Linked DNA regions of Oryzias latipes. The protein of the gene in region 3 interacts with the protein of the main gene of each other region in a pairwise test. Links are inferred from orthologs where the notes say so. Each region holds a gene or a part of one and is shown on either strand. Other genes may lie near its edges.

The links.
Region 1: the proteins of tsr2 (region 3) and E3 SUMO-protein ligase PIAS2 interact in binary tests that used the Homo sapiens proteins (3 or more experiments, as listed by UniProt). The two-hybrid records come from large-scale screens. The link is inferred for Oryzias latipes from reciprocal best matches to the Homo sapiens genes TSR2 and PIAS2.
Region 2: the proteins of tsr2 (region 3) and rps26 interact in binary tests that used the Homo sapiens proteins (3 or more experiments, as listed by UniProt). The two-hybrid records come from large-scale screens. The link is inferred for Oryzias latipes from reciprocal best matches to the Homo sapiens genes TSR2 and RPS26.

Annotation. Positions count from the first base shown.
Region 1 is NC_019867.2:30,477,048-30,481,818, forward strand, and holds the start of E3 SUMO-protein ligase PIAS2, read left to right. Parts: upstream 1-1,347; 5' UTR 1,348-1,362; coding exon 1,363-1,442; intron 1,443-2,743; exon of another isoform or gene 2,744-2,780; intron 2,781-2,890; coding exon 2,891-3,063; intron 3,064-3,845; coding exon 3,846-3,933; intron 3,934-4,002; coding exon 4,003-4,053; intron 4,054-4,572; coding exon 4,573-4,663; intron 4,664-4,733; coding exon 4,734-4,771. UniProt on the Homo sapiens protein: Functions as an E3-type small ubiquitin-like modifier (SUMO) ligase, stabilizing the interaction between UBE2I and the substrate, and as a SUMO-tethering factor.
Region 2 is NC_019863.2:4,001,613-4,006,480, forward strand, and holds rps26 (40S ribosomal protein S26), read left to right. Parts: upstream 1-1,444; 5' UTR 1,445-1,542; coding exon 1,543-1,545; intron 1,546-3,146; coding exon 3,147-3,324; intron 3,325-3,587; coding exon 3,588-3,718; intron 3,719-3,829; coding exon 3,830-3,865; 3' UTR 3,866-3,922; downstream 3,923-4,868.
Region 3 is NC_019865.2:30,436,523-30,441,903, reverse strand, and holds the start of tsr2 (pre-rRNA-processing protein TSR2 homolog), read left to right. Parts: upstream 1-2,025; 5' UTR 2,026-2,071; coding exon 2,072-2,149; intron 2,150-2,324; coding exon 2,325-2,415; intron 2,416-2,586; coding exon 2,587-2,678; intron 2,679-5,381. UniProt on the Homo sapiens protein: May be involved in 20S pre-rRNA processing.

The DNA of each region.
Region 1 (4,771 bases), on a different chromosome or scaffold from region 3:
AGCCTTGGTTTAGGACACAAGTTGACATCTTCCTGCCTGATTTTCAGAAATTGCAAAACTGAAAAAGATCCACTAAAGTCTCCTGCTTTAGACCCATTTAAAAAAAAGAAAAGTTATCCCCTAAAGAAATTCCAAAACAGAGGCTCTGACTGACCTCTGCTGTGTTCATTATTCAGTCAGCTGACCTGAAGACCATCCTTTTCTGACAAGAGGTCCAGCTTTTTCTGTGCTGGATCTAAAAGAACAGCGTCCTCAAAATCTCTACTGTTGCCCCGAAACCCCAGCTCATGTTTCAAAAGGATGAGGGTCCTTAAAAGGGTGTTTAAGTGTTCTCCCTCTACCTTCACATGTGGATGTTTTACTGACATATACCTGTTTTTGGTTTTTGCACCAAAAAACAGCTTAAACTTTCCACAGGTTACAATTTTATTGAGAATATTGGTTCTCATGGAAGTTGATTTGCAATGTCAGATTTTGACGTTAAAGACTCTGGTGTTTGATGAGAAGGTCTGCTCACGGTCCGCCGTGACCCCAAAGGCGTTCGTTCTGTCAGGGTTCTAGGGAGCCGTCAGCTTCTTCCACACCAAACCTTCATCCACGTCCACCTTCTTTGGTTTGCTGTCATGTTGGAACAGGAAGATGCTAGTCCCGCATTATAATCCTCCCTCCACCAAACTTGCCACAATTCTGCCAGATTTCCCATTCCCATGCCGACCACCAAACCCAGTCTAATCCATCAAATTTCTACATGGAGAGATGGGATTTGTCGTTTCAGAAAACGCATATTTACTGCTTCAGACATTAGTTCACATTTGGACAAAGCCTAGCAGCTTCAGAAAAGAAGTTTAGCCTGACTAACGGGTTAACCTGTAAGTGGTTGACCCTCGTGACCCCTAAAATGACGCTTCACTGAGTATGACCCCAGGCTGAGCTCTGCAAGTTAGATTAAACACACACAGTACTGAGCCTTTGAGGCAGCAGCGTCAGAATTTTCACATTTTTATTTATCTTTTTACCCGACCAGGGGCTGCATTCCTGGATGCTTTGAACACACCTGATCCAGGTAATCATCTGTAAGTAGGGGGTTGAAATATAGAAAACATGCAGACATACAGGCCTGGATGGAGTTCCTCAGTGTTTCATTCTAGAATCAGGTTTGCTCTGTTACTTAATAGTTTGGTAGCTTTAACATAATTTATATATTTACTCTTAATCAAATAATCGTTAGGATCATTGTTTCTTTTTTCTTTAATCCTACTTAATCAAAAATATTTTAAAGTGAAACAATTCTCTCTTTAGAACATGTTTTTTCGATTTTACCCGCCTCTGCTAAGAGGTCCCCGTTCAGAAATCAAATGACGCATGACGTCAGAAGGGCGTCGTTACGTCGTGCAGTATGTGACAGGAAGTCGAAGATGGCGGCGGGGAGCGGGGATTTTTAGGTAAGCAACAAAAAAGGAATGGAAAAAAACAAAAACAACGTCTCATGTGGACTTACAGCTCGGACGGCACCGACCAGAACAGATGGACTCAAACCGAACCAAAGCAGAAACCCCGTCTGACCCCGAGCTTAAGGCGCGAGGAGCCCAGTGAGCAGCTGTTAGCCTGCAAGCTAACACGCTAACAGCTGGGCTCCCACCGAATGTTTGGTTTTTGTATTTTATGAACTGGATGTTTACAGACTGGTTGTTTGACTGCTTAGAGCCTGGTTATAGAAGGCTTATTTCCTGTTTTTTGGTTCTTTATCTGACTATTTACCGGCTGGTTATTGTGGTTAAACCTACAACTGTTCTGACTCTGTTTACAACTTGAACACTGGGGCTTTACGGACCTTTTGGGGTGATTGTCACCCTTCAGTTGCCTTTATTCTTTAGGTTTTGTTCCGGAATTGACTTATTTTTTATTTTTATATTTGTTTTTTTGAACAGACTGGTCATTCAGCTTTTACTGACTGCTTACAGACTGGTTCAGTGATTGGTTACCTGTTCACAGGCTCTTTTGTAGTTACTTTTGCACTCTTAATTCTTTAAAGAGCTTTTTATACCCTCAGGAGTTTACTTACTTTGCTTATTGACTTGTCTAAAGCAGATTTATCTACTAGTGAAGATTTGCAGCCTGGTTATAGGGTGTTTGTTTCTTGTTTATAGAGTTGTAAGAAAATGATGACAGTTTACAGAACAGAGAGAACTGTGCTTCTAGTAGGGATGTAATCCATAGAGAAATGCTTAAAACATTGATGGAGTTAGAAATGACCAAGCTCTAAAATCTATCAGGGAGTAAAACAAAAAATCGGTTTCTTTGTCTGTTACTCTTCCTGTTGAGCTGAATACCTTCATACCTGAACAAATTGATATGACACCTTTTTTTAACCATAGGAAAAAGGTTCTAAAAGACTCAGACTCGTAGGCTTTAATGTTTAAAGCTGTCGCTTCAAAGACATTTTGTTGCTAAAAAAAATAAGAGTTTCTCTGTTAAAAGGCATTTTCATTTTTATTTTTCAATGATGACTAGATTGTATCCATTTAGATAAAAGTTAGTTGCATCTTTTGTGATCGATTCGTGTACCGTGTTATATTAGTGAATCATGTGAGACGACTCTAGCAGAAAGAGTCAAGATGTCTGGATTCTGTCGTCATGCAGTAGAAGTCTTCCAGCTGCAGCAGATGGGCTCAGCTTTAGACGCTTTACTGGCTGCTCCCTGGATATTATCACTTTTTTAACCTTTATTTTACCATCAGGTGGAGATAACCTGGTTTGCTTCTGTGCCCACATCACCAATGGTTGGTCCTATTGGTCCTGGGTGTGTTAGGGGCCGTCCTGGAGCCCACCTCAGCACCTCAGGGCTTGTGTAAGACTGTGTTGTAGTTTTTGTGTAACTGTTGTGTTTTAGCAGGAAGCACCCCAGTACTGCGGACCTGTTGGATCACGTGTGGCCCCACGCAGAGATCGCCATGAACCTGCAGCAGCCCTCTCCCCTCATTCCCCCCGTCCACCCTGATGTGGAGATGAAACCCCTCCCCTTCTACGATGTTCTGGACGTCCTCATCAAGCCCTCCAGTCTGGGTGTGTGATGTTTGCAGGGCTGACAGATGAGATCCGCTCTGATCTTTATTCCAGTCAGACTCCACAGAGACCAAACCAGGACGATGAGCTATTGGTTTCAGAAGAAAACTTAACATCAAGTTCTAAATCCCAGTAGGCAGCACCAGCCTGTCAATTCCCAGGCGTAACTCATGGGTAACACAAAAGAGTTGAACAGTTCCTGGCTGACAGCAAATGTTTCAGAGCAGTGACTTTATGTCCCACTTTGTAGAGCAGATGTTCAGTAGCAGTCGTGTCAGAGCAGAGTTTGATGTTTGGTTATATAGTCATATAAAAAAAATACCCCTTTTCTCTGTTTTCTCCATCTGGAATTCAGTAATGTTTCTTTATTCCCGATCAGTTACTTTATGGGATTTCATTTTCAATTTGGAATTATGTGGCTTTTTTTAGTCTGAAAAATCCAAAACAATCAAACGTTTCTTTGTGTTTCACCTTTGAACTTGGATCAGATGTTTTCCTATTTCAACCTTCTTAAAGCTGATTAGTTCCATATACTGTGGAACTTAAATCCTAGACTCTGTGACCCCCCCAACACACACACACACACACACACACACACACACACATACCTCGTAATGAAGTCCCTTTTCTGTTGGTGACTCCAGAGCTCTGACTTCGTCTAAAGGGTTTTGTCTTCACAGTGAATTATTTTTTAGACATCCCACCATGGCACTACCACCTCCGTGCTTCATGGTTTGATGGTGTTCAGGCGTTCGCTGACAGGGCGTGTTGTGTGTCTGCAGGAGTAAGCGCTGCACAGAGGTACCACCAGGAGAAATACTTCATCTTTGCCCTGACGCCGCAGCAGGTCCGGGAGGTTTGCATATCGCGGTGAGTCATCTTTGGAACATCGGCTACGTGACTGAGAGCCCCGTGACTGATTGTTCTTCCTCTCCTCAGGGACTTCCTACCTGGAGGAAGGAGGGACTACTTAGTTCAGATCCAGCTGAGGTAAGAAGTTTCAGGTTTTTATCATAATCTGCAGGTAAATGTTGCCATTGGGGTCCTCTGGTCCAATTCACAGTTCAGAATCAGAAATCTGCAGGATTAAGCACTCCTTTCAGCCAATCACAGCTAATCAGATCAGAAGTTCAGGGGGATCACAGCTGATTCGGAGAGGTTCTGCTGGGATCTTCACTCACCCACAGAGTCTGCAGATGGAGCAGAAACTGTAGCAGCGCTCTGTGAGGAAGAGCCTTTAGCTGAAAACGCTTTTACTTGAAGGGAGTTCTGGTTATCTGACAAGCATGTGTGGAAATGAGAGAAGACTGGAATCGCTTCGTCTAATTTCTCTGAGTTCCCAGACCAGGACTGCAGAGCCTGCGTTCGGGCTTGTGGCCTCCGCTTCGGCTGCAGCATCGTTTCCTCTGCAGATTAGTTCCATCATATGATCTCCATGGAGAAAGCCGACTTTGATGACGTGACAACCGAGCAGAGATTTCAGTTTCTGACTTCCTGCTGTGTGCTCAGGTTCTGCCTGTCGGAGACCAGCTGTCCTCAGGAGGACAACTACCCCAACGGTCTGTGCATCAAGGTCAACGGAAAGCTGTTCCCTCTGCCTGTGAGTACTCAGCCCCGCAGAACGTCAACCCTCTGAGGAACTTCACACCAACTGATCCAGCCTCTCTCAGGGTTTTGCCCCACCCCCGAAAAACGGCGTGGAGCCGAA
Region 2 (4,868 bases), on a different chromosome or scaffold from region 3:
CTTTTTTTTCCTACTCCTGATTTACAACGATTTGAATAAAGAAATACTCAGAAATGCAATTCTGAACTTAAATTTATTTACATATGTCCTCCATCATCAGTAAAATGCTACAAAAGCATGTTAAAAACACCCAAAACACAATTTTCAATGAAGGGGGTCTTTAATTTATCAAAAATATTCTTATATGCTAAAGAGCCTAACTACGACGGAGTATTAGGGCCACCAAAAAAAAAAAAAAATTAGAGCCACCAAAAAAAATAATAGTAAAATTACGAGATTTTATCTCGTAAATTTAGGAGATAAAAACTCGTAAATTTAGGAGATAAAAACTCGTAAATTTAGGAGAAAAAAAGTCGTAATTTTAGGAGATTACAGTGGAAGTGAGCATGCAGAGCAGCAGGTGAACGCCGTGCAGCAGCAGAGCAGACTGACTAAACTTTGTTGAACAGGTGAGCTGAATGTTTATTGATAACGTTCCAAATGTCTGGAAGGTCATTTGTTTGATTTACGATTCATTAAAGTTTTATTTATTGATGGTTGGTTTGCAGGATCTCTGCAGCCCGATGAAGCCGTCGTCGGTGTCCCTGCAGCTGTTCGCTTGAATCCTTTCTTCCTCCACCAAAGACAAGACTCTACGTCTGTGTGACGCTTCCGTCACACAAAAGGAGGAGCACTTTTTTTTGGCATTTTCAACGTTCCAAAGCTAATATAAAACACTATTTTCATTCCTCTTTATTGTTTTATGCTGAAACGGGACATTTCATCTGCAGGAGGGGGCGTTTGTAACACTGTTTACTTCCGCATTGGTGTTGGGATGACAGGTTCATGACGTAATGAGACAAATGAACTTCAGAAAATGTGAATGAAAAGGAGAATAAAGGCTGCAGCGATCCTCTACACCCAAACGTGTCTCTGAGCTCCTTATTTTACATATTAAACTCCGCTTTACTGACACTGAACCCCGGAAAGACTGCTACACGGAAAATGATCTGATTTTGAGTCGCCAAAAGGTTCAGAATCTCTTTGTTTTAAACCTATAATAATCCGGAAATGAAGCTTCACAAAAGGCTCCACATACTTCATCTTCAAGCTAGGTTCCGATAAACGGACAACTATAGTGTTTTTTCCTTAATCTACGACTTTTTTCTCGTAAATTTATGAGATTTTAAGTCGTAAATTTATGAGATAAAAAGTCGTAAATTTACGAGTTTTTATCTCCTAAATTTACGAGATAAAATCTCGTAATTTCACTTTTTTTTTTTTTTGGTGGCTCTAATTTTTTTTTTTTTGGTGGCCCTAATACTCCGTCGTACCTAACTAAGTTATGTTAATAAAGTTTAAAATCGAGAAATAATACGACATTTACTGTATTTTAAACCACCCGAAATGGCCATAAATTCACTTCTTTTGATAAAAAAAAGAAAAGAGAGAAATTTTCACGCGTGTTTATGAACACCGGAGATCCTCGGTGGGCGGGGCGAAGAGCGGGCCTTTTCAGGCGGTTCGTCCTCTTCCGGTCCTCTTTCCATCTTCCCGTTCAACATGGTGAGTCTCTGTCACTTCTGGCGAATTTATTCAACGAAGTATATCGATTTACCACTTCATTCCGATACAAATGTGTATTTTACTAGATATTATAAAAACAGGCGCGGTCTATTAACACTTGACTAAGTTGTAAATGAGCGAACGATGGGTAGAAATCCGTGTCGGGCCTAATGCTAGCTGTTAGCAGGCTAACCGTTTGGTGCATGTGTTCCGGAGAGCTAGCATAGCTGTTGCTAAGGTGTGCTCATTTAGGTCAGACTGCGAGCATTCAGATGTTATAAACGGTCAGTGTAATAGTGACGCAGTCGTCCAGCTTTTTCGTGTAAATGTGGAAACACCAAAACGCTCCTAAACATCGCCATCGCGGGTCTCCGCTTTACTCCGCAGAGACCCAGCGGTCCTTTCACCAAAGGCATTTATTAAGAAATATTTCCCATTTAGGTAAAGGTACTTTTGAATTGTATAGTATATGTGCTCGAGAAATCTATATTTCCATCATCTGGGACCATTTCAGTTTCTCACGGTAATCTAAACTATCCTTGACCACCCAAAAAGAACAGGAAGCAGATTGGAGTAAAAAATAATATTTTATTGCTGTTACTATTAGATTCAGTAGGGACCACAAGGCACACATTTCTAAGGTCCAGAGATAAATGTTGGTGGTGAAACAAAGGATAATTTCCAATTCTGAACAAAGAAATACACAAACTAGCCCAATAGACCTAAAATTGAGCAAGTTATTAATATTTTATGTCTAGCTGATCGCCTTTTGTTTTGTGGCTAGTAAACAATGGGAAAACTTGGTAATCACAGCTAGACGCATCAAGACTTTTTGGTGTTTTTTAATGCTACATCTCTCCTATCTGTGCTCTAAACCCCATCAATTTCTAATATGACATGGTAAAAGGGATGCTGAAGGTTTTAATATTTTTTTTAGAAAATTGTTCATGTAACGTTATAACATGCTCCTCTGGCTGCAGCTTATTATGCCGTATTAAGGGCTTGAACCCGTGACCGCTCCTTACTGCGCTTATTTACAATGTTCGTCATGATGTTATGTGTAAGACTTGGGTCTGCAACGACGAATGACGCACATTTCCTCAGTGTTTAGTGGTGGTTTTGGGGACCTTATTTATCGTGTACCTTTCATGAAGCTGTGAAATGGAACCAAAGTTGTGAAAAATTTGCAGTTGGCTCACAAATGTCCACTAAGTCCACTTTACCTTTTTTTTAAATTTGAAATCAAAATATAAATTATCCCAGTAAGCACCGCAGCGCATATTTTAACACCGTTTATTTTCCAATGTGAAAGCCAAGTTTTTCAATGGTGACACAAACGGCGTGCGCAGTGACACCCTTTGCGGTCCCTAGATTCAGCAGGACTTCCACACAATATTAACTCTCAAACGTTCAACTATTCTTTTAAACATTTACATTTGTTGTTTTATAACTTTCTTCTGTCGTTGTTTTATTCGTATGTTAGCCACTTTCTCTACTCCAGAATTGGTTTTAAACGTAGGAAACGACGAAGCTTAGCTTTTGCAGCTGTTAATAAAAAATAAAATAAAAATAGTCGATGATGACCTCTTTCTATTTGACAGACTAAGAAGAGAAGGAATAACGGACGTGCCAAGAAGGGCCGTGGGCATGTGCAGCCCATCCGCTGCACCAACTGCGCCCGCTGTGTTCCAAAGGACAAAGCCATCAAGAAGTTTGTCATCAGGAACATAGTGGAGGCAGCAGCTGTGAGGGACATCTCAGAGGCCAGCGTCTTTGACTGTAAGGAAGTGAAAGCAGCTTTTGTTGGGTTTTTAGGAAACTGTAGTGTTTACAACTTAACAAGAACTAGTTCTGTCTGGGCATCGACCTTTCTGTTTAGTAAGTTCGGTGTTATCATGACTGCATGCCAAACATTTGGCCACTGATGGCAGCTTATAGACTGGATGTACTGAAAGGGATGCTTAAGTTTAAATGGGATCGTTTCATGTCTCAGAAGTTTCTTTCTAGTTGGTTGTCATCTGAGGAATCTTTTTTTCCTGCAGCGTATGTCCTTCCCAAGCTCTATGTGAAGCTGCACTATTGTGTCAGCTGTGCCATCCACAGTAAAGTGGTGAGAAACCGCTCTCGTGAGGCCAGAAAAGACCGCACCCCGCCGCCCAGATTCAGGCCGGCTGTAAGTACGACCGAAGCAGCTTCACTGAAATTCAGCGCTGTTGCCATACAGCAAAACATGAACGCGTGACTGACGTTAGACGTCTAAGTTCACTTTTTGTCTTTCCAACAGGCCGGCGCACCAAGAGCTCCTCCAAAGCCCATGTGAAGCAGAGTTTTGAGATGCTGTCCATCTGACAAAGAAATAAACAGATCCTGACAAACATGTGGTCGCGGTCATTGATGTGGTTGTTTTGGGGGCCTAAGCTCACAGTTTTATTTAGAATAGTCGCACTAAACAAAGCATTCCATAGAATAGTAGATCAGATTAAAGAAGTGGACATTTGAACAATGCACTGAAAAGGAGAGGATGGGAGATAACGTGTTGAACAGAAGTTATTTTTTGCTTATTAGGACATATTTGCTGTTCAACACAAAAGTAACAAGTCAAACCAAACATCTGCAGATCCGTCCTTCAGTAGACCTGTGGAGGAAGTCTTCACTGCAGCTACATGTGTTCAGAGGATTTCATCTGAGCAGTGACCCAAATCTGTTTGAGATTCTCAATGTTTTATCTAATTGAGCTTAAGTTTAGGCATTTGATGGAGAACACCACAATCTGTGGCTTTTCTAAGGGAGAACTTAAATCAGTGTAATGCCAGTGTCTGCAACCTTAGGCTCTGCAGGCATGTATTCCCCTTTTTTTTAGCTCCACGTCTTAACAAACGAAACAAGTGTCATTTGTTCACCAATTTAATTTTAGTCAGGTTTGTGACCGAGGTGTTTCTGGATCAGTGAAATAAACAGGTTTACACATCACTGCTACTGCTGGCACTACCCCAAAAGGCTTTATATAAACCAGAGTACACAGATTTCAAAGCCTGGCTAAAGCTTTGGTAAAATATTGGATTTTCTGTAAACTGTTGAGTATGATTGGGGAAAGTTTCAAGCACATGTTCATGTTAACAGTAATAGAGGACAAAGCCACCGTAACCCTTGTTCTATCCTAGGCACTTTAACATTGGGAGTGGGGTCATCTAGACCCACTAGACAGTGCTCTGAAACTTTTTTATTCAATGATTTGTGATCTTCACTGGTGTCCATGGATTACATGAAATCTTTCCACCTTTGTCATGGTAGGGAGAACATGTCAATGTAGGGGTGGGGTCATC
Region 3 (5,381 bases):
CAATAAAGAGGAATGAAAATAGTCTGTTATATTAGCATTAGAACGTTGAAAATGCCAGAAAGTGCTCCTCCTCAGACGGAAGTGTCACACAAACGTAGAGATCTGATCTTTAATGGAGGAAGAAAGGATTCAGGTGGACAGCTGCAGGGATACTGTTGAACCTGCGAAATAACTTCTCTTTTTTTCTCTCTGACTGTGGTCGGAAACGCAGGGGAGATTTTCTCCAGGGCCGAAGGCGGATCCTCGTTTGGGATTCACTTTCCCGCTCGGATCGTCAGCCTCCAGAGCGAGTTAATAAGACAAAATACTTCTTCTGGGGAGGGACATCATCTTTTTATTAAGGTTCTCAGTCTCGATCACACAATATAGACGCAAACTCTCCCGCTCCGCGCTCTCACCCCCCTCTTTCGCCCGTGCTCTCACACATGCACGCGGGGTCTCCAACACACACACAGGCACGCACACACACGCGCGCGCGCGCACACTCCATAACTGTCGCCGTCGGCTTCATCGGGCTGCAGAGATCCTCCAAACCACCAATCAAAAAATAAAACATTAATAAATCATAAATCAAACAACTAAACTTCCAGACATTTGGAACGTTATCAATAAACATTCAGCTCACCTGTTCAACTAAGTTTAGTCAGTCTGCTCTGCTGCTTTGCAGCGTTCACTTGTTGCTGCTGCTGCCCTGTATGCTCACTTCCACTTTAATCTCGTAAAAATACAATTTTTTTCTCATAAATTTACGGTTTAAAATTTCATAATTTTACTTTTTTTGGTGGCCCTAAAATTCTGTCGTACCGAATAGTTTGAATCTGCCAGGCTTTTATTTTTTCCCCGGAAAAAAAGTCCTCACTTCCGTTGTGCTGAGCTTAATGCTAATGCTGCGGTTATGTCGTCGCGCTTCGGGTAATGCCGTTGCGCTGTCTCTTAATGCCGTTGTGCTTCGGGTAATGCCGTTGCGCTGTCTCTTAATGCCGTTGTGCTTCGGGTAATTTCGTCTTGCTTCGGGTAATGCCGTTGCGTTTTTCCATTTGTATGTAGTGTGAGCCCTGTCGGCCACCGTAGTAATCATGTGAAACGATACATTCACAAACAAAAGCCACAACGAAAGTCTGAGATGAAAATGGGATGACTGGAAGTGACAATTTTCCATCTACCAAACTGAACCTTTCTTCTTTTGCAGATAAATAAATTCTCATACACCCTAGGCTTTAATCATATGTGTTTTAAATATGTTCTTGTAGTATTTTTCTGATGATGGAGAACATATATATACATGTATATAAAGAAAGTTAAGCTCACAATTGCATTGCTGAGTATTTCTTTATGCAAATCATTGTGAATCAGGGGCAGTCGAAAAAAATGCTGTTGGAAGAAGGTCTTCATGTGATGTAGAAAATATGCTGTCACAGTCTCCCAGCTCTGCTCCATTCTGATCATCCACTGTCAGACAAATAGATCCGTGAACGTCTGTTTTCTTCGTCTGAGCTGGAATCTGGATCTAAACTGTAAACGATAATGCTGCCAATTTTGTTGCACCGCTAATGTTAGGATGGGATTGTGAAGGGCTGGAAGCTAGTGGGACAGTGTATAAACAGATGGGCCTACTACTCAGGAGTAAATTTCTAATGAACTCCTGCCGCTCTCTGCAGAAACTGTTCTAGAAAACGACAGATTGTTTTGATGTTTTATTTTATTTTTTTGTGCCTAAAAATGGCATAATCATGATTAAAAGACCACTGGGAACGCTTTGGAAAAAGATCAAAAGATGAATAAAGTGGGTCTTAAATGACCAAACATTGATGCAGTCAGAATAAATTAGGTTCGACTTGCCAGACATTTCTGTTGATTTTGGCGAATGAAACTCAGAATTGTATTTTCCGATTTTAAATTCGTAAGTGAATTCTGGGATATTAGATTACATAACGTTTTATTACACAGACATTTTCTGTAAAACTAATATTAACTTTCTCTCAAAATCGACCATCGAAACCTCGTCCTGGATCGATTGGTTACGTCTGTTTATGATGACGTCTCGTCGCATTCGAAGTGACGTCAGACTATTATGGCGGCCTCGGTGGCTTCACGTGAGCTTTTCACAGACGCGGTTCGGGCGGTTCTTCACAGCTGGCCGGTACTACAGGTGAGCTTCGAACCGGGTGAGGATTCAGATCCACAGAACCTGTCCCGGTTCTCCGCTGCGGTCCAGATGAGTCAACTTTATCTTGACCCGGTTTGGGGTGTTCCGCTGGGAAGGTGGACCTATTGTTTGGATCTGGTCCCAGTCGGGTTCGACAAATCCTCCGTTTGTTTGTTAGATTGCGGTGGAGAACGGGTTCGGGGGCGCGTTCGGCCCACAGAAGGCGGACTGGATGGTGGACGTGGTGCAGCAGTATTTCCATGACAACGGTTAGTAACCATGGCAATGTTTTTGTGCCTACATTTGTTTGTTTTTCTGTTTGTTTGTTTTTGTGTGTGTCTGTGTATCTGTTTGTGTGTACATTTGTTTGTGTGTACATCTGTTTGTGTGTGTGTGTACCTGTGTTTGCTGTGTGCCCACATTTGTTTGTGTGTTTCTAGCTGACCTGCAGCAGTATGAGGTGGAGGACTACCTGGCTGTGCTCCTTGATCAAGAGTTTGATACTGTCGTGGATGACGGGAGCTTGCCTCAGGTACCACGTGCACGCTCACGTGGACACACACATGCATGTCCTGGGGGTCATTCCAGGGGGGTATTCCAGGAAGCATGTTTAAATTAGCCAGACTTTAAGCCTGAACTCTGGCTGAAATCCGCCTGAACTTCCTTACTCTGGATATGTCGGTTCCAAAAGACCAGATATGAGTTAGCGTAATTACGCTCCACTTGGTAACCCTGGGTTAATGCACGCGCACAGCAGGTACATAAAGACATTCTCAATAGATCGCCGATTTCTGGAGTCACCATGGAAACGCGTGGAGAAAAAAAAGAAAGAAAAGAAAGCGCTATACTTCAGTGAGACGGAGTCTGAGGTTTTAATGATGGCGTATGAAGATTATACGTCCATCAAAAAAGTAATACGGCTGCAACATCAAAAGAGTTTCTGCTTGTAGTAGAAGAACAGACAAAGTAAACGCACGAGTTTCTGATCTTATTTCCATTTTCCTTGTGACGCATATATATATATATATATATATAAAACCTATCCAATTTTGCCAACATAAAGGAATTACTTCTATTGGTAACAAATAATTGAGTTAAATTTATTCAACCTAATTTCTTACATCTATAAAACTCAATAATTTTTTATACAACTCAGATTTACGTATTTATCCAACTAAATTTCATATTACTCCAATTCAATCAATCTTTTTTCCATCTAAATTAATTATATTTCTTGAACTCTCAAATGTCTAAGTTTGAGCCGGCAGATATGCTCATTTGTATAACATTAAAAAGGACGGGGGGAAAAATGCGCGGAGTGCAAAAATTGTTTAAATAATTTTCCGTCATTGTCATTACAACGCTAGACCGTAGGGCTGCTATATAAACTCATTATCCTCTCCTTCACTCTCACTCATGGTGCAAAGACGTAAGCTTAGTAGGACAAAATAACTCGGCAAAACACAGTAAAACAACTAAACACATTCTGTCAAAAACACACACTTAAACCCAAATCCGTCCAGAGAGGCAAAGGGAATGATATCCCACAATCCCTTGCGGTGCCGATCTAACAGCAGCACCAAAGTTACACCTACTTAATAGAATTAATTTGAATGAAAGGAAAATAACTGTATGAAAACTATGTGTTATTTTTAATCTGTCTTAAAAAAAAAAGCTTTATCTTAACTGAAGCAAATAATTAAGTTAGCTCAAAGTAAAAAAGTTTATTTTTCCAACATCCATATGTGGTCTTATCACCCTCTCATGGTGGAAAAAGTATTATCTGAGCTTCTTCATCCACTAAATCATCTTCAAATGAACACGCCATGCTGCTTCACCTTTCTGAAAACAAACTAACCTTCAACTAAACCTGCTCCAGACCAGGTTATGTTCAGAGCATGAGTTCCCATGGCAACTTGACATACCCTGAAACATACCTCCATTTCCGGAACCGAAAGCTGAGGTTATCAACTTCCTTAGCCTCAAACTTACCGTGAGAGCTAGAATAACCTGCTTTCTGGAATACCCCCCAGATATGAGTTGGCGTAATTACGTTTGACTTGGTAACCCTGGGTTAATGCACGTGCACGTCAAGTACATAAAGACATTCTCAATGGATCGCCGATTTTTGGAGTCACCATGGAAATGCGTGGAGAAAAAAAGAGAGAGAGCTATACTTCAGTGAGACGGAGTCTGAGATTTAAATGACGGCGTATGAAGATTATGCTTCCATCAAAAAAGTAACACAGCTGCATCATCATCAAAAGAGAGAGTTTTTGCTTGTTGTAGAAGAACAGAGAAAGTAAACGCACGAGTTTCTGATCTTATTTCCATTTTCCTTGTGACGCATATATACAGTGAGGTCAATAAGTATTTGATCACCCTGTGATTTAGCAATTTCTCCCACTTAGAAAACATGGAGGGGTCTAAAAGTTTCATCATGTACGATTTTTTTAAACGATTTATTTGTATATTACTGTGACAAATAAGTATTTGATCACTTGAGTTGAATAACCTTATTATTTGGTGCAGAAGCCTTTGTTAACAATTACAGAGGTCAAACGGTTCCTGTAGTTCTTCACTAGGTCTCTACATACTTCAGCAGCTATTTTGGCCCACTCCTCCATACAGATCTTCTCTAGATCTGTCAGGGTTCGGGGCTGTCGCTGAGCAACACAGAGTTTCAGCTCCCTCCAAAGATTCTCTATTAGATTTAGGTCTGGAGACTGGCTAGGCCACTCCAGAACCTTGATATGCTTCTTACAGAGCCACTCCTTGGTTTTCTTGGCTGTGTGCTTCGGGTCATTGTCACGCTGAAAGACCCAGCCACGACCCATCTTCAACGCTCTGACAGAGGTCAGGAGGTTTTTGCCCAAAATCTCACAATACAAATCCCCCTTCATCCTCTCCTTAATACAGTGCAGTCGTCCTGTCCCTTGCGCAGAAAAACACCCCCAGAGCATGAAGCTTCCACCCCCGTGCTTCACTGTAGGTATGGTGTTCTTGGGATGATGCTCCTCCTTCTTCCTCCTCCAAACACACCGAATGGAGTTAAGACCAAAAAGTTCTATTTTGTTCTCATCTGACCACAAGTCTTTCTCCCAAGACTCCTCTGGCTCATCAAGATGGTCATTGGCAAACTTCAGACGGGCCTTGACATGGGCTGACTTCAGCAGGGGAACCTTCTGTGCGATACATGATTTTAAACCAAGACGTTTTAATGCATTGACCAGCT